Linked DNA regions of Anolis sagrei. The protein of the gene in region 3 purifies or fractionates together with the protein of the main gene of each other region. This does not show direct contact. Links are inferred from orthologs where the notes say so. Each region holds a gene or a part of one and is shown on either strand. Other genes may lie near its edges.

Evidence for each region.
Region 1: the proteins of STX8 (region 3) and VAMP3 purify together in Homo sapiens (co-immunoprecipitation; 3 studies listed by BioGRID and IntAct, with this or other methods). This does not show direct contact. The link is inferred for Anolis sagrei from reciprocal best matches to the Homo sapiens genes STX8 and VAMP3.
Region 2: the proteins of STX8 (region 3) and STX7 purify together in Homo sapiens (affinity purification with mass spectrometry; 5 studies listed by BioGRID and IntAct, counting the BioPlex papers as one, with this or other methods). This does not show direct contact. The link is inferred for Anolis sagrei from reciprocal best matches to the Homo sapiens genes STX8 and STX7.
Region 4: the proteins of STX8 (region 3) and VTI1A purify together in Homo sapiens (affinity purification with mass spectrometry; 3 studies listed by BioGRID and IntAct, with this or other methods). This does not show direct contact. The link is inferred for Anolis sagrei from reciprocal best matches to the Homo sapiens genes STX8 and VTI1A.

What each region holds. Positions count from the first base shown.
Region 1 is NC_090033.1:20,406,313-20,414,177, forward strand, and holds the start of VAMP3 (vesicle-associated membrane protein 3), read left to right. Parts: upstream 1-4,857; 5' UTR 4,858-5,017; coding exon 5,018-5,019; intron 5,020-7,865. UniProt on the Homo sapiens protein: SNARE involved in vesicular transport from the late endosomes to the trans-Golgi network.
Region 2 is NC_090021.1:81,872,301-81,879,417, reverse strand, and holds the start of STX7 (syntaxin-7), read right to left. Parts: upstream 3,003-7,117; 5' UTR 2,887-3,002; intron 2,310-2,886; exon of another isoform or gene 2,116-2,309; intron 1-2,115. UniProt on the Homo sapiens protein: May be involved in protein trafficking from the plasma membrane to the early endosome (EE) as well as in homotypic fusion of endocytic organelles. Mediates the endocytic trafficking from early endosomes to late endosomes and lysosomes.
Region 3 is NC_090022.1:125,312,944-125,319,935, reverse strand, and holds the start of STX8 (syntaxin-8), read right to left. Parts: upstream 3,015-6,992; 5' UTR 2,852-3,014; coding exon 2,835-2,851; intron 1-2,834. UniProt on the Homo sapiens protein: Vesicle trafficking protein that functions in the early secretory pathway, possibly by mediating retrograde transport from cis-Golgi membranes to the ER.
Region 4 is NC_090023.1:208,325,319-208,333,017, forward strand, and holds the start of VTI1A (vesicle transport through interaction with t-SNAREs homolog 1A), read right to left. Parts: upstream 3,019-7,699; 5' UTR 2,846-3,018; coding exon 2,752-2,845; intron 1-2,751. UniProt on the Homo sapiens protein: V-SNARE that mediates vesicle transport pathways through interactions with t-SNAREs on the target membrane. These interactions are proposed to mediate aspects of the specificity of vesicle trafficking and to promote fusion of the lipid bilayers.

The DNA.
Region 1 (7,865 bases), on a different chromosome or scaffold from region 3:
AGGGAAAGAAATGCAGAAAAAGTGGGGGAGAAACACAGGAAGAAAGGGAGAAACGAAGGAAGAAAGGGAAAGAAATGCGGAAAGAGTGGGAAAGAAACACGGGAAGAGAGGGAAAAATGCAGGAAGAAAGGGAAAGAAATGCGGAAAAGGTAGGAGAGAAACACGGGAAGAGGGAAAAACACAGGAAGAAAGGGAAAGAAATGGAGGAAAAGTGGGAGAGAAACACGGGAAGAGAGGCTAAGAAACACGGGAAGAAAGGGAAAAACACAGGAAGAAAGGGAAAGGATGCGGAAAGAGTGGGAGAGAAACACAGGAAGAAAGGGAGAAATGCAGGAAGAAAGGGAAAGAAATGCGGAAAAGGTAGGAGAGAAACACGGGAAGAGGGAAAAACACAGGAAGAAAGGGAAAGAAATGAAGGAAAAGTGGGAGAGAAACACGGGAAGAGAGGGTAAGAAACACGGGAAGAAAGGGAAAAACACAGGAAGAAAGGGAAAGAAATGCGGAAAAGTGGGAGAGAAACATGGGAAGAGGGGAAAATGCAGGAAGAAAGGGAAAGAGATGCGAAAAGAGTGGGAGAGAAACACGGGAAGAGAGGGAAAAATGCAGGAAGAAAGGGAAAGAAATGGAGGAAAAGTGGGAGAGAAACACGGGAAGAGAGGGAAAGGAACATGGGAAGAAAGGGAAAAATGCAGGAAGAAAGGAAAAGAAATGCGGAAAGAGTGGGAGAGAAACACGTGAAGAGAGGGAAAAATGCAGGAAGAGAAGGAAAGAAATGCGGAAAGAGTGGGAGAGAAACACGAGAAGAGAGGGAAAGAAATACGGGAAGAAAGGGAAAAACGCAGGAAGAGAGGAAAAGAAACATGAGAAGAGAGGGAAAACGCAGGAAGAAAGGAAAAGAAATGTGGAAAGAGTGGGAGAGAAACACGGGAAGAGAGGGAAAAACGCAGGAAGAAAGGGAAAGAAATGCAGAAAAAAGTGGGAGAGAAACACGAGAAGAGAGGGAAAGAAATACGGGAAGAAAGGGAAAAACGTAGGAAGAGAGGAAAAGAAACATGGGAAGAGAGGGAAAACGCAGGAAGAAAGGGAAGGAAATGCGGAAAGAGTGGGAGAGAAACACGGGAAGAGAGGGGAAACGCAGGAAGAAAGGGGGGGAAGCGGAAAGAGTGGGAGAGAAACACGGGAAGAGAGGGAAAAACACAGGAAGAAAGGGGAAAACGCAGGAAGAAAGGAAAAGAAATGCAGAAAAAGTGGGAGAGAAACACGGGAAGAGAGGTAAAGAAACATGGAAAGGGAAAGACGCTGGAAGTGTGGGAAGGAAACGTGGAACGAGAGGGAAAGAAACATGGGGGAAAGGGAAAGAAATGCAGAAAGGGGAAAATGCAGAAAGAGGGAAAGACGCAGAAAGCAGGAAAAACTGAACGAGAGGGAAAGAAATGCAGAATGAGGGGAAGAAATGCGGAAAGAAACGGGAAGAGAAGGAAAGAAACATGAAAAGAAAGGGAAAGAAATGCGGGAAAGGGGGAAAGAAACACATAAAGAGAGGGAAAGAAATGTGGGAAGAGGGGAAAAGAAACACGGAAAGAAAGGAGAGAAACACTGGAAGAGGGGGAAAGAAATGCAGAAAGAGGGAAAGATGAAGGAAGAGAGGAAAAGAAACATGGAAAGAAAAGGAAAGAAAAACTGAAAGAGGGGGAAAGAAACGTGGAAAGAAAGGGAAATAAATGTGGGAAGAAAGGAAAAACTCGGAAAAGGGGGGAAAGAAGTGCAGAAAGAGGGAAAGAAACGTGGGAAGAAAAGGGGGAAAAGGGAAAGAAACGCAGAAAAAGAGGGGGACAATTGTGGTTTTTTGATTGACTACGACTGTATATCCTGCGGAGGCGCTGTTTTGATGTGTGGCCTGACAACCGGGATGCATCCCATCAGCTACAATCTTGCAATAACTTCCAGGCTTCGTCACGGCGCAATATTAGGGGGGAAAGGGTTTAAAAAGTGACCACAAGGAGGCATTTGAATGGATTCGGAGGAGCCGGCCTTCCACGGCAGTGTGAGCTGAAGTGGTTTCAAAAGGTAAGAATCCATCTCTCAGGGGTGCTTTGAATGCGATTTCTGGGTTTGAGCCTGCCACTTTTGGACTCTCGCTTGCTGGGGTGTTCCAACGAGTGTCTCTGTAGGTCTTAGGAAACTATTTCTTGATTTAAGTCGTTGACGTGCTGGCTGATACCCAAACAGGGGATGGGCTGGAGGTGTCTCTGCCTTGGTCCTTTCACTATTGGCTGCTCCTTCCCGGCGGATGTCAGGTGGTGCAATACCGGCTAAGCAGTGTAATGTCTCCAGTGGTGTAGGGCGCAGACACCCCGTGATAATGCGGCATGTCTCATTAAGAGCCACATCCACTGTTTGAGCGTGGTGAGATGTGGTCCACACTGGGCATGCAGATTCAGCAGGAGAGTTATCATGTGAATGGATTTATATCTATCTATATATATAAATGCTCTGTGCATCATGAGTCCCTTAAAAACAAAAGAACCAATGAACGAAATCACACCAAATTTGGCAACAAAACGTCTCACAACACAAGGAGTGACCATCACTCAAAACATTATGATTTTGCCCTTTGGGAGTTGTAGTTGCTGGGATGTATAGTTCACCTACAATCAAAGAGCGTTTTGAACCCCACTGACGTTGGAATTGAACCAAACTTGGCACACAGTTCTCCCATGACCAACAGAAATATACTGGAAGGGTTTGGTGGGTAGTGTCCTTTGGTTTTGGAGTTGTAGTTCACCGACATCCAGAGATCACTGTAGACTCCAACAATGATGGATCTGGACCAAACTCTACACGAATACTCAATATGCCCATATGTGAACACTGGTGGAGTTTGGGGAAAATAGAATCTTGACATTTAGGAGTTGTAGTTGCTGGGATTTATAGTTCACCTACAATCACAGAGCATTCTGAACCCTATCAAACTTCCCACACAGAACCCCCACAGCAACGCGTGGCAGGGGACGGCTAGTAATAAATAAATAAATAAATAAATCATAGAATCAAAGAGTTGTAGAAATCTTACAGAATCATAGAATCAAAGAGTTGGAAGAGACCTCATGGGCCATCCAGTCCAACCCCATTCTGCCAAGAAGCAGGAATATTGCATTCAAATCTTCTTTGATGATTTCTCCCTTTTCCCACTTCTTGTGCATGTCTCTTTTGAGTCGTAGCACAGTTAGAAGTTCTTTGGACATCCATTCTGGCTTCTTTTTGCACTTGTCCTATTTTTCCTCTTTGTTGGCACAGTTTGCAATTGCGCCTTGAGTATTTCACTCTTGAGAAATTCCCATCCCATCCGTGACCAGGTTGGTTCATCAGGTGCTCTGCTGTGGCTGACTTCTCCAGTTGAGCTAGTCTACAGGGCCTTTCATATTCTTTGATTCATGCCTGGGCAATGCTGCTGCGTTGGGGGTCTCTATTGAGAGAAGCCCGGGAGTGTGGCGCAGCTGGCTGAGTGTCAGATGCATTAAGATCACTCTGACCAAAAGGTCATGAGTTCGAAGCCAGCCCGGGTTGGAGTGGGTTTCCAATCAATTGTGTAGCCTGTTGTCGACCTTTGCAACCCGAAAGACAGTTGCATCTGTCAAGTAGGAAAATTAGGTACCACCTTAAAGTGTGGGGAGGCTAAATATGTGAGAGGAAGCCACAGGGAGGAGGGAGCAAACTTGTTTTCTGCTTCCCTGGAGACTAGGACGCGAAACAATGGCTTCAAACTACAAGAAAGGAGATTCCATCTGAACATGAGGAAGAACTTCCTGACTGTGAGAGCCGTTCAGCAGTGGCACTCTCTGCCCCGGAGTGTGGTGGAGGCTCCTTCTTTGGAAGCTTTGAAACATAGGCTGGATGGCCATCTGTCAGGGGTGATTTGAACACAATATTCCTGCTTCTTGGCACAATGGGGTTGGACTGGATGGCCCATGAGGTCTCTTCCAACTCTTTGATTCTATGATTCTATGAAATAAATCATAGAATCAAAGAATTGGAGAAATCTTCTTTGGTGATTTCTCCCTTTTTCCACTTCTTGTGCATGTCTCTTTTGTGTCTTAGCACAGTTAGTTCTTTGGACATCCGTTCTGGCTTCTTTTTGCACTTGTCCTATTTTTCCTCTTTGTTGGCACAGTTTGCAATGAGGAATTCCCATCCCATCGGTGACCAGGTTAGTTCATCAGGTGCTCTGCTAGGGCTGAGTTAGTCTAGAGTGCCTTTCATATTCTTTGATTCGTCCCTGGGCAATGCTGCTGCGTTGGGGGTCTCTATGGAGAGAAGGCTGGGATTGTGGCGCAGCTGGCAAAGTGTATGCAATCAAAGAGTTGGAGAAATCTTCTTTGGTGATTTCTCCCTTTTTCCACTTCTTGTGCATGTCTCTTTTGTGTTTTAGCACAGTTAGAAGTTCTTTGAACATCCATTCTGGCTTCTTTGCACTTGTTCTATTTTTCTCTTTTTTGGCACAGTTTGCAATTGCGTCTTGAGTATTTCACTCTTGAGAAATTCCCATCTACCCATGACCAGGTTGGTTCATCAGTTAGTCTACAGTGCCTTTCATATTCTTTGATTCGTCCCTGGGCAATGCTGCTGCGTTTGGGGTCTCTATGGGGAGAGATGGCCCCCAGGGTGTCTTCCAACTCTGGGATTCTCTGTCTGGGAGGAATACGAGCCCTTCCCAGGCCAAAGGCAATCCCAAGGCAGGGCGGTGCTGCGCCTCTCCCAGCTGAAGGCAATCCAAGGGCGGCCAGGAAGGAAAGCACTCCATGAAACTCTGCCCAGCTGTTGCTCCAGTGTCTCCACCTCTTTCTCTCTCTGCCTGCCTCTGGGGGCCCTTTCCCTGGCCTTGGGTTGGGCTCCCTTCCTTCCTTCCTGGAGGAGGGGCCAGTGCCAAAGTGGGAGAAGCAGCAGCAAGAGCAACCGGAGCAGCTAAGAGACCCTTGGAGAAGAGCTTGGATTGTCCCCCTCCTCTTCCTCTGCTATCATGTGAGTGACCCCTTTCCCTCCTCCTTCCCTGTTTCCTCCCCCCACAATACCAGGCCACAACACTTTCGTTTTCAGCCTTCCTTCCTGGTTCTCTGGGGCTGGGCCCAGCAGCGCCTTGAGACACACCACAAGCTCTGCCTGGGGGGGGGGGGAATCCCCCCCACAAGGCAACCCAGGGGTCTCTGCAAAGCCAGGGGTGAAAGCAAAGCAACGCGTTGCTAGTAAATAAATAAATAAATAAATTATAGAATCAAAGAGTTGGAGAAATCTTCTTTGTTGATTTCTCCCTTTTTCCACTTCTTGTGCATGTCTCTTATGTCTTTGCGCCTCTGAGAGTGAGCCCACAACAAGAAGACCAACTTGGGAGTGGAGGCAAGAGGCCTTGGAAATACTCCAACCACAATGGGAGGCACACTCCTTGCTTACTCTTCCCACTCTCAAGCGAGAGGCGTGCAATGGGACACTATGCAACAAAACGTGCAAAATGTTTCTGCTTTGAAAGTGTTGCTTCCTGTGTCGTTGTGCGGCACTTCCTACTCCGGCAACTTTGTGTTTGGTGGTTGCCACAAAGGTTGGGAACTCAATGAGGGTGAAACAACCTGAGCAAAACGAGCTGGAAGATGTGAAAAGTTTGGGCAGCTTAACAAACTTTTCCCAAGTTTTGATAATAGAACCAAATAAGGACATTTATAACCCGGCAACAAAAAAAAAATCGTGTTACATAGTATTATAATAATATTTATTATACCCACCTCTCCTCTTGTATTAATAATAATAATAATAATAATAATAATAATAATAATATTGTCCTTATTTCCTCCTTGGTTCTATTATCAAAACATGGGAAACATTTTTTAAGCTGCCCAAACCCTAATAATAATAATAATAATAATAATAATAATAATAATTTTATTTCTTACCCACCTCTCCTCTTCTATTATTATTATTATTATTATTAAAATTTATTTTCTTATTTTATTTATTAATAATAATATTTTTATTTCTTACCTGCCTCTTGTATTATTATTATTATTATTATTAAAATTTATTTCTTTATTTTATTATTTATTATTAATAATAATACTTTTATTTCTTACCTGCCTCTCCTCTTGTATTATTATTATTATTATTAAATTTTATTTTATTATTTTATTTATTATTAATTAATAATAATATTTTTATTTCTTACCCATCTCTCCTCTTCTATTATTATTATTATTAAAATTTTATTTTCTTATTTTATTTATTATTTATTAATAATAATAATATTTTTATTTCTTACCCACCTCTCCTCTTGTATTATTATTATTATTAAAATTTATTTCCTTATTTTATTTATTATTTATTATTTATTATTAATAATATTTTTATTTCTTACCTGCCTTTCGTCTTGTATTATTATTATTATTATTATTATTATTATTATTAAAATTTATTTCCTTATTTTATTTATTATTTATTATTAATAATATTTTTATTTCTTACCCGCCTCTTCTCTTGTATTATTATTATTATTAAAATTTATTTATTTATTTATTATTATTATTAATAATAATATTTTTATTTCTTACCTGCCTCTCCTCTTGTGTTATTATTACTATTATTAAATTTTATTTTCTTATTTTATTTATTATTAATAATAATATTTTATTTCCTACCTGTCTCTCCTCTTGTATTATTATTATTATTATTATTATTATTATTTTAATTCTGACTCGCCTCTCCTCTTGTACTACTATTATTACTATATATTATAACAAATAATGATAATAATATAATTTTATTTCTTACCAACCTCTTGTCTTATTTTATTTCTTACCCGCCTCTCCTCTTGTATTATTATTATTATTATTATTATTAAAATTTATTTTCTTATTTTATTTATTATTTATTATTAATAATAATACTTTTATTTCCTACCCGCCTCTCCTCTTGTATTATTATTATTATTATTATTATTATTATTGCCTAGTTTCCAACAGGCCTCACAACCTCTGAGGATACCTGCCATAGATGTAGGCAAAACGTCAGGAGAGAATGCTTCTGGAACATGGCCAGACAGCCCAGAAAACTCACAGCAACCTTATTATTATTATTATTATTATTATTATTATTATTATTATTATTGCCTAGTTTCCAACAGGCCTCACAACCTCTGAGGATACCTGCCATAGATGTAGGCAAAACGTCAGGAGAGAATGCTTCTGGAACATGGCCAGACAGCCCAGAAAACTCACAGCAACCTTATTATTATTATTATTATTATTATTATTATTATTATTATTGCCTAGTTTCCAACAGGCCTCACAACCTCTGAGGATACCTGCCATAGATGTAGGCAAAACGTCAGGAGAGAATGCTTCTGGAACATGGCCAGACAGCCCAGAAAACTCACAGCAACCCTATTATTATTATTATTATTGTTATTATTAGTTTATTTCTTAATCACCTCTCCTCTTGTATTATTATTATTATTATTATTAATACTAATAATAATAATAATAATACAATACTCCTCTTGTACTACTACTATTAGTACTATATAGTATTATAACACATAATGATAGTAGTATTGTCGAAGGCTTTCATGGCCGGAATCACTGGGTTGTTGTAGGTTTTCTCGGGCTATATGGCCATGGTCTAGAGGCATTCTCTCCTGACGTTTCGCCTGCATCTATGGCAAGCATCCTGAGAGGTAGTGAGGTCTGTTGGAACTAGGAATGACCAGGGTGGGACAAAGGACTCTTGTCTGCTGGAGCTGGGTGTGAATGTTTCAACTGACCACCTTGATTAGCATATAATGGTCTGACAGTGCCTGGAGCAATCTTTTGTTGAGAGGTGATTAG
Region 2 (7,117 bases), on a different chromosome or scaffold from region 3:
TTTGGATTTGCACACACATACATGAGATCTCTCAGAAATGAGATCCATGCCTAAATGCTAAATTCATTTATGTTTTATATATACCTTATACCAGGTATGGGCAAACTTCAGCCCTCTAGGCAGGTGTTTTGGACTTCAACTCCCACAATTCCTAACCGCTGGTAGGCTGTTAGGAATTGTGGGAGTTGAAGTCTAAAACACCTGGAGGGAGGGCTGAAGTTTGCCCATACCTGCCTTATACACACAGCCTGAAGGTAACTTTAAACAATATTTTAAATATTTTTATGCACTAAAACAAAGTTTGTGTACACTGAAGAAATCAAAGGTGTCACTATCCCAGACACCTACATGACCAATTGTAGAGCATTTCAGATTCTGAAATTCCAGATAAGGGATGCTCAAAGTGTACTTCATTCATCTCTAAAAAGCAATCACTCCTGACCCCTTATTTTCTTACAGGAAAAAGAGAAAACACGTGGCAAACCGTTTTATACATATTTACCATAAAATACTGAATCACAATCAATAATATAGTCTCCTTCTCTGGATGGGGATCTGTTGGGGGTGCTTTGATTATGTTTTCCTGCATGGCAAGATTGGACTGGATGGTCCCTGAGGTCTCTTCCAAGCCTATGATTCTATATCACTGGAGCACCTTCTTCACGGCCATATAAAATCCAGATTATCTGCTTTGAACTGGATTATATGGGAGTGAGTCCACGACATGCAAGTGTGGAGGAGAGAAAACCACAGACCACTTAGTACAAAGCAACCTGAGCCCTGCCACATGCATGATGTAGGATGTTCTTATAGTGACACCAGAAGTACTCCAAGTGGCCAGCTACTGGTGAAAGGACATTTAGCATAATGCCAAGTTTTTAACTTTGTTTGTCTTTTAAATACATTTCAATTGTGCCCTCAATTCACTTGTGACATGATAAATATCAATAAATCTAGTTCAAAGCACATAATGTGGATTACCTGGCAGTGTAGAAGAGGCCTGGGATAATCAATGTACTATTTTAAATGTTGTGGGCTGTTTTGAGTCTCATTTAAGAGAGGAAAACACGGTATAAAATATAATAATTATTGTATTATATTACGACGATCTTCACTTGAACTTTCTAATGTATATTTATAATTGTTTAATGTATATAACTGTATTTTATGCTATGTTTTGTTGTGTCAGCACTAAATAGTGGCCTGTTGGAAGGCGTCCTGAGTCCCTCTTTGGAGGTTGAGAAGGACGGGATAGAAATGCTCTAAATAAATAAATAAATTATTGTGTTATTGAAGGCTTTCATGGCTGGAATCACTGGGTCACTGTGAGTTTTCTGGGCTGTATGGCCAGGTCTCAGAAGCATTCTCTCCTGACATTTCACCTACATCTATGGCAGGCATCCTCAGAGGTTGTGAGCTGCCATTGATGTTGGCAAAACGTCAGGAAAGAATACCTCTGGAACATGGCTATACAGCCCAGAAAACTCACAGCAACCCAATAATCTATATAAATAAAAATGTAATGATAGTTTGTGGGATTAACATAATGCAAAAACCACTGGATGAATTGACATCAAATTTGGACACAATACACCTATCAGGCCAACGAGTGACCATCACTCCTAAAAACAAAACAAAAAACACACAGTGGAAAGGACTTAACCCCCACCCCCACCCCAACAAAAAAACACATTACAGCACATGACCAAAAATGACTCCCTGCAAGGCTCGCTTCCCAAGCAAGAAGTAGAGAAGGAAGGAAGGACAGGAAAAAAGGAAGGAAGGAAAGAGGGAGGGAAGAAAGGAGAGAAAGAAAGGGGGGGGGGAAGAGAGAAGGATGGAGGCAAAGAGTGAAGGAGAGAAAGAGGTAGTGAAGGAAGAAAGAGAAAAAAGAAGGGAAATAAAAAGGGGGAAAGAAGGAAAGAGATTGAGAATGAAGGAAGGAGAGAAGGAAAGGAAAAAAAGGGAAGGAAGGAAAGAAAGAAAGAGGGAGGGAAGGTTGGCCACAGCAACGCCTGGCAGGTACACTAGTACTTATTATTAGCCAGTTACATTCATCCACAAAGAATGGAAATCCAAAACACAGAAGAGAAGGATGTAAGGAAGCCTACACACGCCCAATAACAACAACAACACAATCCGCGCCCCTCCTGAGGCGATTCCCCCCAGAAGGAATGCCCAAGTGGAAGCAGTGGCTGCCCACACGCCACCATCACGTGTCCCGGCTGCATTGCTCCCTCTGAGCGTGTCACGCCTGCAAAGACACGCATTCTCCCCGGCCTAATGCCATTCCCCTTAATCCGACGGGGTTGCGGGGTGCCTCCGTGGAGAAGCCGTGATTCCTTCTCATCACGGTCACATGATGGCTCCACCCAGGAGGAGAGGGAGGAGACACCAGAAAGGAAGCCTTGTTTTCCATGGCTGGCATCATGTGCCACCCTCCCATCCCTGGGCAGGCTCCACCATTCGCACACAAACACACAGGGAGGGGCGTGTTGCTGCAGAGGAAAGGCAGGAAGGAGAAGAGGAAAGGGAAGAAGAAGGAAAGGGCGGGGAAGGAAGCAAAGGAGGGAGAGGAAAGGAAGGAAAGAAAGGAGGGAAGAGGGGAGGGGAAAGAGAGACAGAAATAAGGGGGAGAGGGGAAAAGACGGAAGGAGGGAAGGGAAGGGAAGGGAAGGGAAGGGAAGGGAAGGGAAGGAAGGAAGGAAGGAAGGAAGGAAGGAAGGAAGGAAGGAAGGAAGGAAGGAGGAATGCGGGCTGGCGCCTCCCTCCTCCGCCCCCTCTAGGCAGGCAAGCAGTCATTCCAACAAACAAGGGAGAGAGGAGTCTCTGCCAGAGCTGCATTCGGGCAAGCGGGAGGGAGGGAGGGAGGGAGGCCGCCCTTACCTCTCAGCCCCGCTCAGCACCGCGTCCCCATCGGGCGAGCCGGGTTCCGGGCTCCAGCTCTCTGGCGCTCAGCTGATCAGCCCGGGTGACCACGCCCCTCGGCCAAGCTCCGCCCACTCGCTGCCGCACCAAAGGGAGGGGCGCTGCCTGGCCCCGCCCACTCCCGGCCTTTCCGCTGACTCTACACAGCGCCGCGTCGCCATTGGAGGGATCGTGCAGTGCCTTCTTTTCACCGTCTGAAGTCCTGTGGCTTCCTCTTGGGGCTTGTAGTTCAGAGGAGGGACCTTTAAAATGCTCAGCCAGCCTCACTAAACTACAAGCCCCAGAATTCTCTGGGAAAGAAGGCAGGCACAGGATTTCAGATGGGATGCGTGCTCTGTTTTCAGCCCTAGTGTGATTAGGCACTAATCGGAGGACTGCCTCATAAACGCCTCCAAGGACCTTATCAGACAGCAGAGCCCCCGGTGGCGCAGTGGGTTAAACCCCTGTGCTGGCAGGACTGAAGTCCGACAGGTTGCAGGTTCGAATCCGGGGAGAGGCGCATGAGCTCCCTCTATCAGCTCCATGCGGGGACATGAGCAAAGCCTCCCACAAGGATGATAAAAACATCAAATTGGCCGGTCCCCTGCGCAACCGTCCTTGCAGACGGCAAATTCTCTCACACCAGAAGCCACTTGCAGTTTCTCAGGTCGCTCCTGATGCGACAAAAAAAAAAAAATCATACAGCAGTCTTGAGACTTACTTACTTACTTACTTAGGCGATCCTTCCTAGTCCGAGTAGGATTGTCTTCCAATATCGGTGTACTGACGGTGGGTCCGTAGGTAACTATGGAGCCCTAATCTTGATCTGCATCTTCTCCCACAGTGAGGGCATTGGTTTCCAGGTGGAAGGCAGTCCCGGTCGGGGTTGGCTTGATGCACCTTCCTCTTGGCACGTTTCTCTCTTTTGCCCTCCATGTGTGCCTCTTCAAATTCTACAGCACTGCTGGTCACAGCTGAGCTCCAGCTGGAGCGCTCAAGGGCCAGGGCTTCCCACTTCTCACTGTCTATGCCAGAGTTTGTGGTGATAGTATGATAGCTAGGTCCGGAAGTGCCGAGCGTTACGCACATTCCGCAATAGCGGTTGTGAATAAGGGAAGGGGAGAGCGGCACACTGAGGGCGGGAACATACTTTAATTTGGTGGAAGGATAGAAAGGAGGGGAGGGTTAGGATTAAGGTTTAGGGTTTGGGTTAGAATTAGGCTTAGGTTTAGGGTAAGGACAGGGGTGGCTCAACCCATTACGCAAAGTAAGCATTTACAGTATAGTTGATTTTGCCCAGGGGTGCTCTTGAGGCGCTCTTGGGAGGAAATGGACCTTGACATATGTGGGTTGTAGTTACTGGGATGTATAGTTCACCTAAAATCAAAGAGCATTCTGAACTCCACCAATAATGGAATTGAACCAAATATGGCACACAGAACTCCCACGACGAACAGAAAATATATATCTGATTGGTTGGGGGGGGGGGGCAAAAATACTGTTTGCTTACCGTTGAAAATTATTTAGGGCCACCTCTGGGTAAGGTTAGGATGGGTTAGGATTGGGGTTTGGGTTAGGATAAGGGTTAAGGGCCGGGTTTAGGGTTAGGGCTTTACCATTAAAGAATTCTTACATTCCTTCTATATCTGTGTTCCGTTCTGCATTGTGCAAACAGGAGCGAAGCGGAAACAGCGTAAGGCTCAGAGCTTCCCGACCCAGCTTTCATACTATTACCAAGGTTTTAAGGTTGGCTTTGAGCCCATCTTTAAATCTCTTTTCCTGCCCACGCTCATTCTGTTTTCCATTCTTGAGTTTGGAGTAGAGCAACTGCTTTGGGAGATGGTGGTCAGACATTCGAACAATGGCGGGTCCAGTGGAGTTGATGGCGGAGGACCATCACCTCAATGCTGGTGGTTTTTGCTTCTTCCAGCACACTGACATTTGTCCACCTGTCTTCCCATGAGATTTGTAGGATCTTTCGGAGGCAATGCTTCCGCATCACACTTAGACAATGATATGTCTCCACTCCCAGCTTTTTTTCTTCATGCAAACCTGCCAGAATCTCTTTCCATTCTGTCCTTAGCAGCGAGCTGTCATCCCTCTTTAGGGAAGAGCATAATAACTCCTCCCCTTGAATTTTTTTTACAAAATATTACAGCATAATATAGCATAATAGTGGCATTGGAGAATAGATGGAAGGGTAGTTTTCCTTTAGTGGTTTGTTCCAGTTATAATATTGTACTTAGCAGAGAGCTGCCATCCCTATTTATAGAAATGCATGATTACTCCTTCCTATGGAAAACAATGGTATCCGTGCCTCAGAGGGTTTAGATCAGTGGTTCCCAACCTTTTTTTTTTTTACCTGGGACCACTTTGACCAGGATCCACCTTTCAACATTAGTATTAAAAGGGTTATGAATCTGTTTTGGTCAACTTTAGATCGCATTGGATAGACCCCATCAGTTCTAGTTTCTGATACAGAACATATGCTGAACATTAAGATCGTCTGAACGTATGCCGACCAGAACATTAAGATCGTCTGGGGAGGCCCTGCTCTCGATCCCGCCTGCGTTACAGGCGCGCTTGGCGGGGACGAGAGACAGGGCCTTCTCAGTGGTGGCCCCTCGGCTATGGAATGCCCTACCGGCAGACATCAGACAGGCACCTTCGCTGCTGACGTTTCGGAGAATGGTTAAGACCTGGCTTTATGAACAAGCGTTTGGTTAAGCAGTGCAACCAATCATAGGAAGACGGTAAATGGAACATAGGAATGGCACAAGGATTATGAGAACGGATCTGATTTCAACTGAGGTGTTATGTTATGTCTGTTTTGTTGATCTGTCTTGTTGATTGTTAACTGTTGTGGATTGATGCTGTTGATCCTGTTTGTTGCATTGTTATGTTTTAATTGCACTGACACTGTTTGATAATTGTACCATGTAAACCGCATTGAGTCGCCTGTTAAGGGCTGAAAAATGCGGTATAGAAATAAAGCAAATAAATAATAAATAAATATGCCATCCAGTAGTCGCCATTTGCTCACCCACAGTATTCTGACTATAGAAAGTCAAGTGGGCCAAACTACAAAGCAAACATAGTATCACAGATGCATGCTGGGGCATGACACATAGAAAACCATATTTAATAAGCCTTGGCACTATAAGAGGGTTTTGCGATATCAGTCACTCTCATTGCAACGGTGTAGTAACAATGTATTGTCAAAGGCTTTCATGGCCGGAATCACTGGGTTTTTATAAGGTTTTTTCAGGCTGTATGGTCATGCTCCAGAATCATTCTCTCCTAATGTTTTGCCTGCATCTATGGCAGGCACCCTCCCAGGTTGTGGGGTCTCTGAGGACCTCACAACCGTAGATGCCGATGAAACGTCAGGAGAGAATGCTTCTGGAACATGGCCATAGATACTGAAAGACTTACAAAAACCTGGTGTACTAACAGTGAGGCTGTGGATCATATTTCTGTTCTTGCGGACCACTGGTGGTGCACAGATCACAGGTTGGGAGCTACTGTTTTAAAGGAAAGAACTGGCAAAACCACCTTTGAGTATTTCTTGCTTGAGAAAATATGCAATTTGTGTGATAGGTAATTTGAAGGCACACCTCTCTCTCTCTCTCTCTCTCTCTCTCTCTGCTGTGCAAAATTTCAATTGTAATTCATTTGTCGTATCTACAGGGTGAGGCAGCATAACTTCCTTTTTTCAAAACTTAATCAAACCCATTGTATGAATCAGAAATTTTTATTTTTATAATGTAGGCGCTTACCTAAAGTTTTGTTTTACGTAGTTTTGAAGATCAAATTAGGTAGGTGACATCCCCCATTCTCCATACACTAAACTGAGTAAAATGATTTCTGGCGTTTGTCATGATTTAATAGCAGGCGTTATGTTGGCAATTTCTTCCTGGATGTTGGTCTTCAAATCTTGTATGGTCCTTGGATGGTTCACATAAACACGGGATTTCAAAAAACCCCATAGAAAAAAATCACAAGGGGCCAAATCTAGAGAGCGGGCTGGCCACTCCAAATCTGCTCGAAAAGTAGGCCTCAACGGCAAAAGCACGCTCCTCACTATTCCAACGCATGATGGCAACTGAACTGTGTCAGTACAAATCTTTATACTCCCGCCTCTCGAACAAGACCTCTAGCACTCCGCTACGTCTTCAACCAACTGAATAGCGCGTATTTTAAAAAAGGA
Region 3 (6,992 bases):
ACAAAACTGGTCCCAAACAGCCAGCTTAACTTGTTGCAGAGTACAGCAAGGTTACTAACCTTATCAAAGAATTTTCAGTGGAAAAACTTTCCATGCAGGAAAAAGGTGCATGTGCTAAAATTATCTCCACTGTAGACAAGTCACACTCTCTCAACCTCTGAGGAAGGCAACAGCAAACCTGAACCAATCTTGCCAAAAAAAACCCTATGTGATGGGTTCTCCTTAGGGCTGCCATAGGTCAGAAATGACTTAAAGACACACAAGTGAGAGCTACCAATGGAGAAGAGGAATGTCCTTTGTTGGCATCAAATCATCCAACTTGATTTTATCCCCACCCAAAGTGGAAAGATCTAATCTACACACACACACATATACCCAATGGCTCATCACAGCTCAAGTATAGAAAATTTGTGGGAGAGACCACTGTTTAAATGTAATACACCTTCCAACTATTTTTAATTTATTGTTTTAATTACTGAGTCTAACTGGCTTTAGGATCAAGCCTTTGGAGAAGGGCAACAGAATATGTTCAATGATTATTTGAATGGCCCTGGATTACATTGATGGATGGCGTAGTTTTAATAATGGATATGTTTTTAACTGTTTAATTTGTATTAATTTTAATTTTACATTAAAGGTTTATTTTAATAGTATGTTGTTTTCAAGGCATTGATAGCTGTCTACGTGTAAAGCCACCTTGATTCCCCTTTGGGTTTGAGAAGGGCAGGATATAAATATGAAAAATAAATAAATATTTTAGTTATGTTTGATTAATTTATTGCCCTGCTTTATTATTATTTGATATTTGATGTTTAAGATGTTATCACCTTTGTGAGATTGTTTATTGTTTTCCTGCACTTTATGGCATTGAATATTTGCTGCTATATGTTGTATAGCAGCAAATTTATCCAATTTATGCTTGCTCCATCTATAGTGTTGCCCCTATGATGCACTTTTCCCCATACTAAACTGAAAGCCTACCCCACTGTTTATTCTTTTGGGGTTCCCCTCAATTACATATTCTCTTTCCTACCTCATCCAGGGTTTTATCATTTTACCCCATCTATTTGGCCTGCCCATTCGGTTCGATTTTATATTGTGTTAATTTGTTTTATTTATTTTGCTCCTGTACGTATTTTATTTTGATGTATTTTTTGTTGTCTGCATTCTGTATTTTATTTTGTTGTATTGTAACTTTGGGCTTGGCTTCATGTTAGCTGCCCCGAGTCCCCTTTGGGGAGATGGTGGCGGGGTATAATTAATGTTTATTATTATTATTATTATTACTACTACTACTACTACTACTATTATTATACCGCTCTGCGTCCCCTTGGGGAGATGGGAAGAGAAATAACATCTTATTATAACTATGGAGCCCCCGGTGATGTAGTGGGTTAAAGCGCTGAGCTTGTTGACCAAAAGGTCACAGGTTTGTTTCCAGGGAGCGGTGTAAGCTTCCGCTGTCAGCTCTAGCTTCTGCCAACCTAGCAGTTCGAAAACATGCAAATGTGAGTAGATCAATAGGTGGGAAGGTAACGGCGCTCCATGCAGTCATGCTGGCCACATGACCTTGGAGGTGTCTATGGACAACGCCGGCTCTTCGGTTTAGAAATGGAGATAAGCACCAACCCCAGAGTCGGACATGCCTGGACTTAATGTCAGGGTAAAACCGTTACCTTGTATTATAACTATTCATATCTGGCAAGAAAATTGAGTATTGTGGTTTGTATAAGATGCTGGTCCTGGCCTTTAAAACTTTATATGGCCAGGGTCCATTGTATCTTAGAGACCATCTCTCCTTCTACCATCATTGGAGGTCGCCACGACCATCCCAACGCGATTTGCTCTATATGCCGGGTCCTAGGGAAGTGCACTTGGAAAGCACCAGACGCAGGGCCTTCTCTATTTCTGCCCCTGCCTTATAGAATTCCTTGCCTCCCTATTTGAGAGCCATGCGTGACTCAGGGCATTTTATCCTAGCACTTAAGACCTGGCTTTTTACTCGAGCATTTGACCCATGTTGATTTTAATATTTGTGTGTATGTGTTTTATCCTGTATAATTTCTGCTATGTAAATCGCATGGAGCATCTCGGATGGAGGGCGATTAATAAGTAATTAAAGATGATGATGATGATGAAAAGCCTGAATGAGACCTATGCTATTCCACTTTTTCACCTACTTGAAAAATGACCCTGACTGCATCTAAACTGCAAGATCAATGAAGTTCGACACCACTTTAACTGCCACAGATTAATGTTAAGAGTCCGTGGGAGTGAGATTGAGATATGAGATTGCTGATAGTCCTCTTTGGCAGAGAAGGCTACAACGCCCAGCATCCCACGGCATTGACCCATGGCATTGGCCCAAGTGGTGTCGAACTGCACTGGTTCTACAGTGTAAATCAGGCATGGGCAAACTTGTGTCCTCCAGGTGTTTTGGACTTCAACACCCACAATTCCTAACAGCCTCTGTCCCTTTCCTTTTCCCCTTCAGGCGCTTAAGGGGCCTGAGGCTGTTAGGAATTGTGGGAGTTGAAGTCCTAAACCCCTGGAGGGGCCAAGGTTGCTCATGCCTGGTGTAAATGCGCCCTCAGTTTCTCTCTCCAGCCCGCCCCGCGGCCTTGCATGGGTGCGAAGAGTGTCAGGTGCAGGAGGGCAGGCAAAGCAGTTTCCCAAGTGGGCCGAGCTCAGCAAGGAAGCCCGTCCTTGACGTGACTGGAGGAGGGCTGCTGGTGCCCGGCACAAACGGAGGCCTAAGCCGGCTTGGCTTCTCCCTGCTTAGGGCGGAAGGGTCAGGCTCCGCCGCCAGCTCCCTCCTTCCCTCCCTCACTCACCAGGGGTCCGGAGCCATGGCCGCGCCCTACAACCGCCTCAGGCTTTGAAAAGTCTCTCCAGCTCTATGCCGGCAACAGTGCCCACTGAGGTCACCTGACTACGACGAGCCGAAAGGCTCACAATACTAACGTAAAGGAGGGCGGAAGTGCATCCACTGACAGGGAAAAGCAAAACAAAGACCGAGGAATGGAAAAGGAGGAGGAGCGCATGCGCGAACGGCCTGCCCATCAAGTGGCTGCGGCAGGGGATTGGCGGAGAGGAAAGCCACGCTGTCCAATTATAGCTGCCTTTGGCCCTCCAGGTGTTTTGGACTTCAACTCCCACAATTCCTAACAGCCAAAACACCTGGAGGGCCCATGCTTCCACTCCAGCCTTTCATTTTTAACCTTCCATGCTTAGTCCACTAGAGGGCGGTACAGGTTGAGTATCTGAAATGCTTGTGATTTTTTTTCCCACCCAGATTTTGGAATAGCTGTATTTGTATACAATGGGATATTGTTGTCCAGCAATTTAGAATGGCTGTGGATAGTGACATCCAAGCCGCTGTGGGTTTAACCTGGTGAGAAAAAAAGAAACCAATATTCCAGAATAAATCTTCTCAAGTGGAAGCAGAAGCCACCGAGGTATTTATTTTTGTTCCAGCAGGAAAAGGATGACAGCTGCAGTAATCTGCTGAAGAAATCACCATGGTTCTGATACAGAAAACTAGACCAGGGTCCTCAAACTAAGGCCCGGGGGCCAGATACGGCCCTCCAAGGTCATTTACCCGGCCCTTCCTCAGGGTCAACCTAAGTCTGAAACAACAACAACAATCCTATCCCATCAACCAAAAATAGGCTCACACTTCCCATTGAAATACTAATATATTTATATTTGTTAAAATTGTTCTTCATTTTAATTATTGTATTGTTTTTAAGTGTTTTTTGCACTACAAATAAGATATGTGCAGTGTGCATAGGAATTCATTCATTTTTTTTCAAATTATAATCCGGCCCTCCAACAGTTTGAGGTATTGTGACCTGGCCCACTGTTTAAAAAGTTTGAGAACCCCTGAACTAGACAATATATACAGGGTTTTTTTCCATTCAAATTTCCCGCCCCCCTGAGCTGGCTTCGCTGTGATTGGCTGTGACATCAGCAAGCTGGGAGGAGTGGCCGGGGACTGGTGCAGCTCGTCCAATGGGAGCCCAAGCCCCACTTCGGCTGCTCAGCCAATAGTGTGCAAGGAGACACGGCCACAGTAAAAAAAAGGATGGATCCCTGGGATTGTGGGGAAACATACACAGAGGATCAGTGGGTCTGTGAGGGCCCAGCCTAAGATAAAACAGCACAGTTGGGACCAGGATTTTGGGGAGAGATAGGATATTATGGGCTGGTAGTTATGGGAGTGGGAGTGGAAGAGGATGAAAAAGGCAAAAAGGAAACAAAACAGGGCTTGAGATATGAAAAGTCCAGTATCATCAAAGGTGAGTCAAAGATTATACAGAAAGCAAGAATAGGCAGGAAAGATGGGATTTCAGAAATAAAGGGCATGGTTATAAAATATTATTTACTTAGCATTCCCTTTTGTTTGTAGTTCATTGACTAGTATGGGGGACAACTAGCACAGTTGTTAACTCATGTTTTAAGGTGTTTGCTTAGGTTTCATGAAATCTAGACTAAATGTACCCACTATCTAACATGGGAAAGGTCCTTGTGGTTGTTAGTCTTCTGCAGATTGGCCAAAACTGAACTCTTATTATATCATTCCAGCCTGGTGTCCTTGGCAAAACTGTGAATTCCCTAATTATGAACTATCTTTTATTGGAGGGGTGGGGGGACCTGGGGCTAAAAATGTTATTTATAATGATGTCATGTTGTCACATTTGCCAAAAAGTAAGAGATTAATGAAAGTAAAAATAAACCTATGATAAATATTTAACTGATCATTCCTTCCATTGTTTGCAACCCAAACACCTGATTATGCAAGGGTCAAATGTGTGGTTTATACTATCCTCAAAGACGAAGCACTTGGGGGATAGTCGAAACATTACATTGGGCTGGGAGAGAGAGGGAGGATAATAAAACTGTGTTTTCGAGGGTTATTTTTACAGAATATTATAATCACATTTTTGCTAGATACACATTAAAGTGTAATGATCCTTCTAGTATGCCTATTCACCAGACAGCAGTGAAAATAGAAATAATAGCAATACGTAATAATTATATAGCACTTTATTTAAATGCTTGAACTGTTCAAAATCCATTAGTAATATTGGTAAACTTATATCTCTCTTGGATCACACTATTTGATGTTAGTTCTCTCAGTGAAATAATGTCCAAGTGCCGTTTTTATCTCTCTTCTCCAGCTAAAGAAAGTTTATGTACATTATGCTATTACAACAGTTTCATCCCACTCTAATGGTCCTGACTTCATTTTAAAGTGTTATCTACTTTCCAAACATTTCATGTTGATGACACAATTTAAAGACACGTGCCATTTCACAACACAGCAATTCAGTTTTAATAGCAAACTGGAAGTTAAACTAACCCCTTATAAGAGATTTGGGATTTCATCACACGATGGAAATTGAGTGTCCTAGAACACTTCTGCCCCAGTTGACCCATGGAGCCCATGCCACCCATCACACATCGTAGCCTCACTTTCAGAGGGGCTTCATGGCTCAATTGGAACAATAAGGCTACCGCTTCCAAGTGTGATAGGGAAGCATCAGCTGGTTGAGAGGCGGGGCATGGGGTGCTGGGAATGACTGCTACCCACTGATTTGGCACAGAGGCTGGTGAACCCTGGACCTCATCAATGTGAAAAGGTCCAAAGACACATAGATAAATTGTAAAAATGAAATATGCACAACATATTTCATGAAAGCTTTCTCTCTTTCTCTCTCTCTCTCTCTCTCACACACACACACACACACATAAATACTCATTTCACATAGACTCAGATTTCTCATTATGTTCATGGGACATGCCTACACACTGCAGTCGACACACACATGTCTTGCAACACAGAGTTTGGAAAGCTCTCATCTGCTGGTTCTTTAGAGAGGCACTCAGAAATTCTCTGTTGCACTGAGTGCTTCCATTTGAACAGTACATAAAATACTGTAGCAAACTAGAGATTTCTATCAGAATAACAACAACAACCACAATTTTATTTATATCTCCCCAAAGGGGCTCAGGGTGGTTTCCAATAAAAAAAATGGCAAACATTCAATGCTAGAATACATGAACAAAGAGAATTAAACAACAACGCCCCCCAGATTAAAATAAAAATTATAACAGGTAAACAAAAATTAAGTAATAACATAACCGATCGACCACTGCAGAGTATTCTAAGTACCCTTCCAAAGAGTAAATTTTAGGATTACTTAAAATGGAATAACAGTTAAAGTAGTATCTAACTGTTGCAACAATATAGTGTGGGCATATTCTTGCATGTGAAGACTAAACTCTTGACAAATAAAGATGTTAAAGATCATGCAGAGCAAGACGAGTGATGATACAAGTGTCACAGCTCTACATTTTGTCTCAGATGTTAATAGTCCGGAGGAAGCAGTTACAGCATCAGAAGATTTTTTTTATTACTTTCCCTTTTTCAAAATTTGGGATTAATGTTTTAGCAACACATTTTATAACAACCTCAGGTAAGATTTGGATTTCAGGATTCACGTCAATTGGTTTTCACCGACAGCAAAAATATTTTTTCAGAGGGGATAGGTATATTAATTCTGTTGTGTGAAAAACAATCCAAGGTGTCTGATAACATATGAAGACTGTAACAGATATATTATGGCATATGCTTTTATGGGCAGATGATTTATTATGACATCAACAAAGACAACACCACATGGTTTTTAATTCAGGGCCTTTCTACCCAGCCATATAACCCAGAATATCAAGTCAGATACTCCACAATATCTACTTTGAACTTGCTTATCTGAGTCCACACTGCCATGCAGTATAATGCAGTTTAATGTGGATTTTATGCAACTGTGTGGTAGGGGCCTCAGTTTGCAGCAGCCTAGGAACATGAAGGGGAAGGGTATAACATGTATCATGATTATGAAATTTAAGTTGATTAATTATAAATTATACTGAATTAAATTTACACAGAAGTTTCCAAGTTGTCTAGACTATTGGAAGACACCCAGGCT
Region 4 (7,699 bases), on a different chromosome or scaffold from region 3:
ATGGGGGGGGGGGGACTTCTCACAGGCTCCCCTTCCTGTCATTTTAAGCATTGTGTTTGTCCTTATATTCTTCATTAAGACCTGGATTTAAAGCATCAAAATTAAAATACCATTCTTTCTATAATCCTTGCCCTTCTGTCTGCAGAGGAGACAGGATTAATGCTTTGTTAAGGCTGTTTTTTCTCTAGAGGAGACATGGACTGCAGGTTCATGCTCTCGCACTCTCTGCAGTAGGTAGTTTTCCAAGGCATTTTCAGTAGGCTTCCCATTTCCCAGGGAAGGAAAAGGGATTGACCTGGAGGCATCCTACCCTGGGCTTCCTTTAAAAAGCCCTCTCTTCTCTCTTGATTTGAAGGTGCTGGAGTGGAAAGGAGAACTAACGTGCCTTCCCCCCCCCCCCCTCACACTTCAATCTCCTTTCTGCTTACAAATCAAGAAAGGGCTTAAGGAGCCTCACTTGTTTGAATCCTTTTCCTTCTAGTGGCTGCCTACCTCCCTGCACTATATGTGTAACCGAAAGAAGTCAGTTTTCAACAGCCACTGTTTTGTTGTGACCAGTAAAAAAATGGTGGCAGAGTCCATGCCACTATGGGCTTCCAAACCAACTGAACAAGCCAAAGGCAAACATCCATAACCCTAATGCACACCCTTTAATGTATTTCCCAGCTCAGGAGGCTCTGAAGCCACACATTTCCTTGGGGAGGGAGATGGGAGGAGGATTGGCTCACAGAGTAAATCATTCACACGGTACTCACACCCTCACCACACCTTCAGAGTGAAAGAGAGGCAAACAGGTCAAGATCCCACCACATGGGATTCCCCAAGGTAAAGGAGGCACATGTTGTGCCCATCTGAACCTGGAAACTGCCCCCCCCCCCTTCACAAGAAGCACATGTTTTAGGAGACATAACTGGCCTGCATAGTCAACAAACAGTCTGGGTTCAAGTGCAATAGAGAGCGGTGGCGTCAATAACAGTCCAAAGTTCTTCACAACAATCAAGGCCCAAGTTGGTTGGGTTGAGGCAAAAAAGTAGTTAAGCAGTCCGTTTTCAAGCACTAAGCTAGTTATACAAGAGAGATTCCTTAGGTGCTGCTCTGGCAGCGGTGGAAAGAAAGATCTGCAGTCTTTTCCACACTTATTTGGGAAGAAACCCAACTGAGTTCAGCGGGATTTCCCACTCAGGATGAATTTCCCCGCTTTCAGGTGGGTGCATTCAACATTAAATGAAAACTTTATTCCAGTGGGGGGAAATGGTGTTGTTTCAAGGTACTTCTGCTTCAAAGTGGATGAGTAGACTCCAAAACTGGGACTCAACCACAAAGAAGCCGTGACATACATACACACACAGTGAGCAGCATTAATAAAGTTTAGCACCACTTAACAGCCTTGACTTAACACTTAACAGGGAGGCCCTGCCTTCTTCACAGGTGCAACTGGCGGTGATGAGAGACAGGTCCTTCTCAGTGGTGGCCCCTCAGTTGTGGAATGCCCTCCCTAGGGATATTAGATCAGCCCCCTCCTTCCTGACCTTCCGTAGAAAAGTGAAAACATGACTTTTTGAGCCAGCCTTTGAGAACCTAGTGAAATAGATAAATACAGAATTATGTAAAATCCTATACTGGAACAGCTTAGACAATGATTTTGGACAATGAGGCTAATTGTGAAGGTAGTGGCTTTATATGATTTTTAAGGTTTTTATGTATGTATTTTATAATGCTATTTAAATGTTTATTGTAATTTTTACACTGTTTTAATGGCATTGAAGCTGCCTATATTGTAAAGTTGCCTTGAGTCACCTTCGGGTTTGAGAAAGGCGGGCTAGAAATATAGCGTAAAAAATTAATTAATTAATTAATTAGTCCCAAATGCACTTTAGTAGAGATCTAGGATCGTCTGCATGCCCCATCTATCTTCAAAATACCTATCCTATTTCACCTGGTCACCTGGTCATGCCCAGTATTTTTTAACAATTTTAATTATTACACTTGGCCCTATCATAGGTTCTTTTAATGTGTCGTGGTGTTATTGTTAATGTTTACTGCTTGTTTACGAGTTTATTGATGTATTGTTGTTTTACTGATGTATTTGGGCTCAGCCTCTTGTAAGCCGCACCGAGTCCTTCGGGAGATGGTAGCGGGGTACAAATAAAGGTTTATTATTATTATTATTATTTTGTCGTGTCAGGAGCAACCGCTCCTGTTGTGACAGAATTGGCCGTCTGCAAGGACGTTGGATGATTTTTGATGTTTTATCATCCTTGTGGGAGGCTTCTCTCATGTCCCCGCATGAGGAGCTGGAGCTAATAGAGGGAGCTCATCTGCCTCTCCCTGTCGGTCTTCAGTCCTGCCGGCACAGTGCTTTAACCCACTGCGCCACCGGGGGCTCCTATTATTATTATTATTAACAGCCTTGATTCAATTATATGAAATCTTAACAGCTGTACTTAACCACAAAGAAGTCCTGACATATATACACACGCACAGAGAGAGAGAGAGAGAGAGCAACATTAATGAAGTTTAGCACCACTTAACAGCCTTGGTTCAATGCTATGAAATCTAAAGAACTATACTTTTACGAGGCCTTTGCCCTTCTCTGCCAAGGAATGGAGGTGCCTCACCAAACTACAACTCCCAGGAGGCCACAGCATTGAGCCATGACTGTTAAAGGGGTGTCAAAGGCCCTGCCAAAGCAAGGGGCGAGAGGAAAGGCAGAGGGGCCGGGAAGGAGCCCCCCTCGGCCCCAGGACTCACCTCCCAGCAACTTGGGCACCTTCCCGATGCGGTTTGTGATCTCAGCGCTGAGCACCGAGAAGTCCTGCTCGTAGCCCTCGAAGTCTGAGGACATGGCGGCCAAGGAAGGACAGGCCTCGGCGGCTAGATGGGCGGAAGGGAGGCAACAGAAGCCCACAGGTAGCCCGCCTCGGAATTGGGGGTGCTCACGACCCGCGCCCCCCCGGATAACGCAAACTCAACTTCGCCGCTGCTCCTGTCAGGGCTGTACTTCCGGGTTGAGCGTCACCAACAACAGTCCCCTGAGGAACCTCATCTCGCAACCAAGGTTCCGGGTGCTCGTCCCAATGGGAATGGAGGGCAACTAGAGTCCATCATGGATGATGATGATGATGATGATGATTATTATTATTATTATTATTATTATTATTATTATTATTATTATTATTATTATTATAATATCTGGAGGCATGCCTTTTAGACTTTGTTTCATGCACAAAAACATTTCAAAGACTGCATATACATAGTCCATATCAGACTATGTGCATAAGATGTACATCATACCTGAATAAATTACACCAGGTAACAAAATTCGGGGGGGGGGATATTTTCCTGGTTTGAAAATGTTATTTCCTGTTTAATTGTGCAGTGCTTACTCTAAAAGTAGTTGTTCTACTCCAGAAACTACATTTTTATGGCTTTTTTTGGTCATGTCAGGAGTGACGAGAAACTGCAAGTCGCTTCTGGCGTGGCTGCACAAACTATGTTGAATTGGCTGAGACTCTATTCATTGAAAAACTATAGCAAAATATGCTGCAGGATGTTGCACAAAAGCAAAGCTTAATTTTTTTAAAAAAAATCCCATGTTTTTATGATAGCCCCAATTAGGAAATGACATTGATAACACAGGAACAAAAATGTTATGACTTGGGTCCCACCTCCAAGATGTCTCATTATGTAGAGGCAAAATATTCCAAAATCCGGGGGGGGGGGGGAGGAAATCCACACGTAAGAGAGACATTAGGGTGCATCTACACTGTAGGGGCCTCCTCGTGGTGCAGCAGCTTAAACTGCTGAGCTACTGACTCAGCAGTTTAACTGACTAATGTAATGCAAATGTAAGTAAATCAATAGGTACTGCTTCTGCAGGAAGGTAACAGTTTTCCATGCAGTCATGCTGGCCACATGACTTTGGAGGTGTCTACAGACAACACTGGCTCTTCGGCTTAAAAATGATCTAAAGATTGATCTTTTAAAAAACTGCATGACTTCTCAGAGTGCCCATGAGCACATTTCCTCAGAAAATATTAAGCCAGGTCGGCCCCAACCCTCCTAACATTTCGAAAAAAAGTTTAAACCTGGCTTTTTGAGCAAGCTTTCCCAAATGCAGTGTAGCAGACAAACTCTGATCTTCGGAACGACTGGACAATGTGATTGGGTAATGAATTGAGTAATGAGACGCTGTGGATTTAGACTTCTATCAGTTTCATTATATTTTGTCAAATGTTATTTATGCTAAATGTTTTAATTGTTCTTTGTTATTGTGGGCAGCAAATTGTACTGTTTGTAAACCTCCCTGAATCGCCTTCAGGCTGAGAAAGGCAGTATATCAATATTTATTTATTTGTTTGTTTACAGTATTTATATTACGCCCATCTCACCCCGGAGGAGACTCAGGGCAGATTACAATGTACACATATATGGCATACATTCAATGCCAAAGATGCACAACAGATATAGACAAACAGTCAGAGGCTATTTAACTTTTTCTGGCCGCCAGGGGAGCTGTTGCTTTCATCGTCCATCTGCAACGCTGATTAAGTACTTCCGCATTCCCCGCATGCTTTTGCTGGAGTCTTTTTTATGGCCTCGTAAATTTTGTTAAATTTTTGGGGGCCCGGTGGCGCAGTGGGTTAAAGCACTGAGCTGCTGAGCTTGTTGACCAAAAGGTCGCAGGTTCGATTCCAGGGAGCGGCGTGAGCTTCCGCTGTCAGCCCTAGCTTCTGCCAACCTAGCAGTTCGAAAACATGCAAATGTGTGTAGATCAATAGGTACCGCTCCGGCGGGAAGGTAACAGCGCTCCATGTGGTCATGCTGGCCACATGACCTTGGAGGTGTCTATGGACAACGCTGGCTCTTCGGCTTGGAAACGGAGATGAGCACCACACCCCAGAGTCAGACATGACTGGACTTAATGTCAGGGGACAACCTTTTTAACCTAAATTTTGTTAAATTAACCTCCCCACACATAGGTGCTACCTACTTTTCCTACTTGGCAGATACAACTGTCTTTCGGGTTGCAAAGGTCGACAACAAGCTACACAACTGGTCGGAAGCTCACTCCGATTTGGGCTGGCTTCGAACTCATGACCTTGTGGTCAGAAGAGACAGCCCCGATGGTTAATAAATAATAAATAATAATAGTCAGGCACAACTAGACTTAATGTCAGGGGAAAACCTTTATCTTTACCATACAGTGTAGAATGAATGCAGTTTTGGCACCTCTTTAACTGCCATGGCTGAATTCTATGGAATCATTGGATTTTCACAATGTTTTGAGCCTCTTCCGCCAAAATGTGCTGGTGCTTCACCAAAATACACGATTCTCTAGCATTGAGCTAAAGTGGGATCAAACTGCACTGATTCTTCTGATGGCTTTGCGTGCTGAGAGGTAAGAGGAGGGACTCATTTGCGGGCGGACTTGCCAGGCTGTTGAGGGCGAGGCGAAGTCGGGGCGGAAGTGAAGGGTTTTGCGCATCCGGGCTCCCAGACAAGGTGCCCGGAGGCGGGGAAGTGGGCGAAAGGAGCGAGGGCGGGCGCGCCAAACAGAAACATAACGGAGCCAGAGGCTGCAGAGGAGGCGGGAGTCCCGGGCCCTGTCCTGGTAAGGGGTCACGAGGCGGGTGAGAGGGGTGCGGGACCTCCCTGGCTCTGCTTGGGAGCCTCTGCTTCATCTCCTGGGTCCAAAAGCAGGAAGGAGGAGGGAGTGGCTGGTGGCCATTGCCTCCAGGCTTCTTTCTCACACCTCTGGCTTTGCCTTGGCCATCCCTCCTTCTCCCTCTCCTTCTTTTCAGGGGATTGCTCTCCATCACAGCTCTGCACATTTAAGAGTCATCAAATCTCCAGAGAGAGAGAGAGAGAATGTCATATGTTAATAAAACCAGAGTGCATTAATATAACTTATGATATAGCACAATATCTTATGTAATACTAATAGTATAATATACTGGTAGTGTAATTGTGGTATAATAATATGGTAAGGGTAAAGGTAAAGGTAGTCCCCTAACATTAAGTCCAGTCATGTCTGACTCTGGGGGTTGGTGCTCATCTCAATTTCTAAGCCGAAGAGCCAGCGCTGTCCGTAGACACCTCCAAGGTCATGTGGCCGGCATGACTGCATGGAGCACCGTTACCTTCCCGCCGGAGCGGTACCTATTGATCTACTCACATTTGCATGTTTTCGAACTGCTAGGTTGGCAGAAGCTAGGGCTGACAGCGGAAGCTCATGCCGCTCCCCGGAATTGAACCTGCGACCTTTCGATCAACAAGCTCAGCAGCTCAGTGCTTTAACCCACTGAGCCACCGGGGGCCCTAATAATATGGTAGAATCTATATAAATAAAAATGTAATGTACGTTTGTGGGATTAACTCTATATAAATAAAAATGTAATGTACGTTTGTGGGATTAACATAACTCAAAAACCACTAGACAGATTGACACCAAATTTGGACACAATACACCTATCAGGCCAACGAGTGGCCATCACTCATAAAACACTGAAAAACACAGCAGAAGAGACTTAAAAGCTAAAAAATACATTACAATGCACGCGCATAACCCACATATATACACAAATATACACACACATATATATACACATATACACAGACTAGGCCACAGCAACACATTGCAAGGGGCGTCTAGTAAAATAATATAATTGTATATTATATATTACATGTAAAATTACTAATAATATTGTAGTATAATGGTGGGGGCCCCCGGTGACACAGTGGGTTAAACCGCTGAGCTGCGAAACTTAGAATCATAGAATCAAAGAGTTGGAAGAGACCTCATGGGCCATCCAGTCCAACCCCCTGCCAAGAAGCAGGAATATTGACCAAAGGGTCACAGGTTGGAATCCAGGGAGTGGCGTGAGCTTCCGTTGTCAGCACCCAGCTTCTGTCAACCTAGCAGTTCGAAAACATGCAAATGTAAGTAGATCAATAAGTACCGCTCCGGTGGGTGGGAAGGTAATTGCACTACTTGCAGTCATGCCGGCCAGATGACCTAGGAGGTGTCTACGGACAATGGCGGATCTTCGCCTTAGAAATGGAGATGAGCTCCGATCCCCAGAGTCGGACACAACTGAACTTAATGTCCTTTACCTTTTGTTGTTGTTCATTCGTTCAGTCACTTCCGACTCTTCATGACCTCGTGGTCCAGCCCACGCCAGAGCTCCCTGTTGGCCGTCACCACCTCCAGCTCCTTCAAGGTCAAGCCAGTCACTTCAAGGATACCATCCATCCATCTTGCCCTTGGTCGGCCCCTCTTCCTTTTTCCTTCCTTTTTCCCCAGCATAATTGTCTTCTCTAAGCTTTCCTGTCTTATTATGTGGCCAAAATACTTCATCTTTGTCTCTAATGGGTATCACTTCAGCGGGAAGGTAACAGCACTCCATGCAGACATGCCAGCCACATGACCTAGGAGTTGTCTACAGACAACGTCGGCTACCTTCTTTGCCTTCGTCTCTTTACTACAGAAAAATACCAAATGTGTCATCAAATTGCTAACAAAAAAGATACAAAAAGCCTCGTGAACATAATTTTCAGTGAAATTGGAGAATGGTAGCATTAACTATCACGAAATCATGATCTAAGTTTATTTAATGCTTTAAATACATTTACCACTTGTATTTAGAGTTCTATAGCAGTTATTATTATGCTTGCCTCACTTAGAAAGCATGGGACT